Mus musculus: one gene and its partner. The protein of the gene in region 2 purifies or fractionates together with the protein of the main gene of each other region. This does not show direct contact. Links are inferred from orthologs where the notes say so. Each region holds a gene or a part of one and is shown on either strand. Other genes may lie near its edges.

Evidence for each region. The genes of interacting proteins can lie anywhere in the genome.
Region 1: the proteins of Pdhb (region 2) and Pdhx purify together in Homo sapiens (affinity purification with mass spectrometry; 4 studies listed by BioGRID and IntAct, counting the BioPlex papers as one, with this or other methods). This does not show direct contact. The link is inferred for Mus musculus from reciprocal best matches to the Homo sapiens genes PDHB and PDHX.

What each region holds. Positions count from the first base shown.
Region 1 is NC_000068.7:103,039,009-103,042,529, reverse strand, and holds part of Pdhx (pyruvate dehydrogenase protein X component, mitochondrial), read left to right. Parts: intron 1-136; coding exon 137-336; intron 337-1,388; coding exon 1,389-1,487; intron 1,488-3,521.
Region 2 is NC_000080.6:8,165,491-8,167,762, reverse strand, and holds the end of Pdhb (pyruvate dehydrogenase E1 component subunit beta, mitochondrial precursor), read left to right. Parts: intron 1-908; coding exon 909-1,050; intron 1,051-1,281; coding exon 1,282-1,427; 3' UTR 1,428-1,772; downstream 1,773-2,272. UniProt on the Homo sapiens protein: The pyruvate dehydrogenase complex catalyzes the overall conversion of pyruvate to acetyl-CoA and CO(2), and thereby links the glycolytic pathway to the tricarboxylic cycle.

The DNA of each region.
Region 1 (3,521 bases), on a different chromosome or scaffold from region 2:
AGAAGGTGGCAGCTGGAAGAGAAGAGCCCTCTGTCTTCAGTGTCCTTTAGCTCAGGTCTTCCTTGCACCTGTAGACTTAGTGACTTCATGTGACCCTGGGTTTTTCTATCCCAACCATTGTCTTTTTAAAATACAGGTTGAGGAAGGTGCTAAAAATATACAGCTGGGTTCACTCATTGCTTTGATGGTTGAAGAAGGGGAAGATTGGAAACAGGTGGAAATTCCCAAGGATGTCAGTGCTCCACCTCCAGTCTCAAAACCACCAGCTCCTACTCAGCCCTCTCCACAGCCGCAGATTCCTTGTCCCGCCAGGAAGGAGCACAAAGGGACGGCACGGTGAGTGCGTTTATGTGAACATGGACATGATTATTGTGTAAAAAGGGTAATGATTATTTTAGGGTTTGAAATCAGCATCATCCACTTTTCTCTTAGGACACTGAAACATAAGATGATTATTTTACATCCTTCTTCATTTGATAAACAGTGAATACTGGTTTTGTTTGGGCTAGAATCTAAAAGCCTTGCTTGCTCAGTGTAGAATAAAATCATCTGTATCTATGCTGAACCTCAATTAGGTTCTAAAATTGCAGAATGATGTTCATGAGACCAAACTTAATTTTTTGTGTTTAAATGTAAATTCAAGTATCCAGTATATAGTTGATACAAAATGAAAATTTCATTTTAGCGTATGTTCCTATTCAAACAGTTCAGTATTTGAGATTCTGACACGGGTAAAGTTTTTCCAACTGTCCTGTGATAGTACAGGTTCTTGCGACCATTGTCCCTAGTTCACCAGTGCCAGTGTTGCAGATTGGTATCTCTGCACCTGTCTTTTATGTAGGTACTGAAGATCCAAACTCAGTACGCAGGCCCTAGCCCTAATATTACTGTTTACAAAGCATACTGTGCTAGTTTGATCAGAGAGTGCAGTGTATATTGTTGGGATCTGGGTAACCAGAGTGACCTTTTAGCTCCCTGGGCGGCAGCCCGGCATTTCTCATTTCCATGCCGGGCTCCCTGTGTTTTCTCCTCTCTGACTTACGCTGACAGTCAGAAGCCGTCTTACGTGTGTTCTGAACATTTACTCTTTCTAAAGTTATTTAGAATTGGTAACTACTTACTGCTTTATAAAAGTGTTTTGATGATAAAGTAGATTGATACAGATTAGTTTATGTGACTGTGACTATCCTTATATTTTGGGTTATGAGCCTAGCCTTTAACAGCTGAGCCATCTCGACAGCCTGACTGTGGCTCTCCCTGAGACTCATTTTAGCTTCAGTGTTAAGAATTCATTTTCCTAATTATCAGCAAAACTGTAGACATTTAGATCTATTTCAATCAATATAAGGGTTAATTAGTTTCATTCGTCTCCATGTTTTTATTCTTAGGTTCCGCTTAAGTCCAGCTGCCCGCAACATTCTGGAAAAACATTCATTGGACGCCAGCCAGGGCACAGCCACAGGCCCTCGCGGGATCTTCACTAAAGAGTATGTGCGCTGTCTCTTGTGAGGCTTTGCCAGTGCCTGGCAAATACAGAAGTGGATGCTCATCTATTGGATGGAGCACAGGGCTTCCAATGGAGAAGCAAGAGAAAGTATACAAGGAGCTGAAGGGGTCTGCAACCCTATAGGAGGAACAACAATATGAACTAACCAGTACCCCCAGAGCTCATGCCTCTAGTTACATATGTAGCAGAAGATGGCCTAGTTGGCCATCCTTTGAGGAGAGGCCCTTGGACTTGCGAAGATTATATGCCCCAACACAGGGGAATGCCAGGGCCAGGAAGTGGGAGTGGAAGGGTTGGGGAGCAGGGTGTGGGTTGGGGGTATAGGGGACTTTCAGGATTTCATTTGAAATGTAAATAAAGAAAATATCTAATTTAAAAAAAAACAAACAAACAAACCAAAAAAAAAAAAAAAAAAAAAGAGTATGTGCGCTTGCGTAATCCCCAGTCTCTTCACTTACCTTTTCTGAAAGGATTTTTAAATAGCGTATTCTGTGTAGAAATTTAAAACAAGGCACATTGTTCTTTTGTGGGTTTTTAATTGCTTTTGTTAGTGTAAGTTATATTCAATGCAAGGGTCTTCTGAATAATTGCACCATTATTAAGAATTAAATTTAATTAGAGCACCAGGTAGGGAAAGGTACTTGAACTTGTATAAAATCATCACCAGTCACATACATTTCCCAGGTATGGAGATGCACTTTTAAAATAATTTAATTCTTAGCTCTTCAGACTTTTCTTACTTCATTCAGAGGAGTTTCCATTTGCAGTTAATTCTCTTAAGGATTTCCTATTCTCTTTCATTGATCTGCCTGTGAGTTAATACCATTTAAATTATAAGTTTTATAGTATGCTTTAAAGTCTGATAGGCATTGCAGATTTCTCTTGTTTATTTTTCAACAAAGTAGTTTTATTGGTATATCCTTCCTTTAAATCGTAATCAATTCTAGTGTCGGTCTGCAGGTGGCGGAGAACATGGTCATTAATGAGATGCATTGAATTAACTCAGTAAGAACTGATCTGACATCTTTACGTAGGCAAGTCTTTCTAGTCAAGAAATTGGTACATCTTTGTATTTGTTTAAAATGGTCTCTCAACAGTCTATTAAAATAGATGGGCCTTTCTCTAGTGGAATTTAGCCTAATAAAGGTACAACAAAGACCAATCAAATGGGCCTGTAACCACATGTGAGATCCTCATAGCAATGTGTGACTCTAAGTGTGGTTAAATGACTAGAGTGGCTAACTTTTAGAGAGTTAGCTAGAACAAACAGATAGAAAGTGGTGGCTCTGGCCTGGGAAGCTGTTTTTTTCCCTCTGGTTTATATCTTTTTAATCACCTACCAGTCTGTGCCTTAGGTGAACTCTGTAAAAATGGAATAAAACAACTATCTTCATAATAAGATGGATTTGCCCTGTCTGTTATCTGAGGGCTAGGATAAATGTTCTGTTTAATTCATTAACCACTGAAGATTTGAAGAAATGCAAAATAATTATAGCTATACCTGAGAGGGATTAGCTTGGCAAGTCCATGCAGTGTAAATTACAACAGATAATGACCTCTGAGGTAAGGGGATCAGTTGAGGTAAGGCTCATAAAGTAATACAGGTAGGAGCTAATGAATACTGCCCTTAACATGGTTGAAAATCACGCAAGAGACATCTAGAGTGTGTGTCTGGGATCCTGGTCTGGATATAGAAAGTGTTGGCTCCAGAAGTCAAATAAGGTCAAATAAGGAGTTTGAGGAAGCGTTTGCCATAGCAGAGTAACTGATGTCTGCAGCTTTCTTTCACACTGCCGAGCTGTCTGGGAATCAGGACCTGTGTGATGAAGATGAAGGAGAGAGTTTGTATAGGTCATGAAGCAATTATTGTCATTGAGATCAGTGGCAGCTCATCATTTAGGAGACTTGATTTCTGTGTTAGGATGTTGGGAAATGGTCCACAAGTCAAGGAACAGAGGGTCTGAGGAAAGATTCTTGAACTTAGTTACTAGTGCCCCTTTGGAGAACAGCTTAG
Region 2 (2,272 bases):
ACACTCAACACACCCTATATCCAGAAGCTATGAATTGATGCCTGTAATCCCAAGACTCAGAAGATGAGAAGTAGAATCATGGTTTCCAGGCCACCTTGAGTTCTGTCATCAGTCTGTCTCTGCTTACAGCCAAAAGTGGCTGCTGTTCCGCACACAGACTCTGGGTCTCAAGTTAAGACCCAGTCTTGTTAGGCTGGGGAAGTGGCTTAGTGAAGTTGCTCTCAAGCATGGGGAGCCGAGTCCGGATCCCAGCACTCACATAAGAACAATGGCAGGGGTGGGTGGCAGCATGGGCTTGCTACCCAGCACTGCGGAGACCCTGCCAGGAGGATCCCTTGGGCTTGCTAGCTTGGCCAGCCAGTCTAGCCAGCCAGGTCCAGATTCAGTGAGACCATTTCTAAACAAACAAGGAAGAGAGCAATTGAGGAAGAAACTGGAGGTCACCTGTGTGTGTGTGTGTCCAGTCAGAAGATCCAGACTGGCAGCTGGACTTTACTATCCTGTGTATCAAGTAGTGCTTCTTGGGAAGTGTCGCTGTGCTTCGTCGGCTATAAAATGTGGATAATAGGACCTCTCAACCATAGGGGATCATGCTGTAGGCCCAGTGCATATTAAACTCTCAACTATATTTTTGATAAGAGGGATATTGAAACCAAGGAGGATAATGAATTCTATAGGTGAGCAAAGCTTCCTGTGATGGGGTGACAGGCTTTAATTGTAAATTCCCCCTTTACTTTTGTTTGAGATAAGATCTCACTGTGTTGCCAACACAGTGTCATCCTGCCTTAGCCTCCTAAGTGGTGAGCTTACAGGTGTGTGGCACTGTACTGCTTTTCCTTAGTCGATACAGTCGTGTACCTGTTTCTCCGATTCCACAAAGCCTGTTTCCTTGCCTTGTCTTCATTTAGGTAATAAATCTGCGCACCATCAGACCAATGGACATCGAAGCCATAGAAGCCAGTGTGATGAAGACAAATCATCTCGTGACTGTGGAAGGAGGCTGGCCACAATTTGGAGTAGGAGCTGAGATTTGTGCCAGAATTATGGAAGGTATTTCAAAGAACCTGGTTTTAGAACACAATCAAGCTGTACTTGAATGCCGACTTGTAAGAGATCAAAAGCTAGGGGTGACCAAGTGAATTTTCAACTTGTCAGTCTAGGGTTTTGTCTTTTGGGTAAATGTTTTTAAAAGTCAAGCCAAAAGTAGAGTCCTGTAACTACGATTCATTCTCTTCTTGAGTCCCGAGTCTGCCTCTCAGGTGAGCCATCTCTCTTCCTTAGGCCCTGCATTCAACTTCCTTGATGCCCCTGCCGTGCGTGTCACTGGTGCTGATGTCCCTATGCCTTACGCAAAGGTCCTAGAAGACAACTCCGTACCTCAGGTCAAAGACATCATATTTGCAGTAAAGAAGACTCTGAACATCTGATTCGGACTTTGAATGTAAAGTCATTGAAATCTATTTAAAATCCTTGTTGGGACTTCACCTGATGTGTACTGCGAGACTGCTAGTCATAAAGTTAATGCTGAAGTGACAGCAGGTGTCTGAACTGTAAGAAGTTTCAATGTGCTTATGAGTGGAATGTTGTCCACTCCCTACCCTAGATACTCTGCTTTGTCTGTTACTGTTTAAGTTAAATTTGCCCTCTTTCACTGGAAGGGGCAAGATAAGAATGCCCCCACAGAAGGTAACTTATATGTCTAAGAAGTATATTATCTACATTTGCTGTTTAATTGTTTTGATAAGGAATAAAGGGGATTCCCACCAATGAAGTCTTGGAGTACTATTAAGAAATTAGTGTCAAGCTGGGTGGTGGAGGCCCATGCCTTTAGTGCCAGCACTCTGGAGTGAGCCTCAGGAGGCAGAGGCAGGTAGATCTCTGAGTTCAAAGCCAGCATGGAGTACATTGTGAGTTCCAGGATAGCAAGGGCTACCCAGAGAAATCCTGCCTTGAAAAACTACATACATACGTATAGACGTATATTAGTGTCAAATAACTGATATGCTGTATATAAAAACTGTAGATTCTTAGAGTAGTTTTTTAGAGGATTTCAGTGTGTCTTTGGCTGGCCCAGAACTCAGGATCTCACAGATCTACCTGCCTCTGCCTCCAGAGAACTGGCATTAAAGGTGTGTGACACCACACCTGGCCCAAATTGAAGCTTTTTATTTCCAGAGCAATGCTCGTAATAGCCAAGCGCTCTACTACAGAACTCTATTGCTTTTATTCCTATGTCTGAAACTTTGCCCCAAACTGCAGAACTAAAACCAGA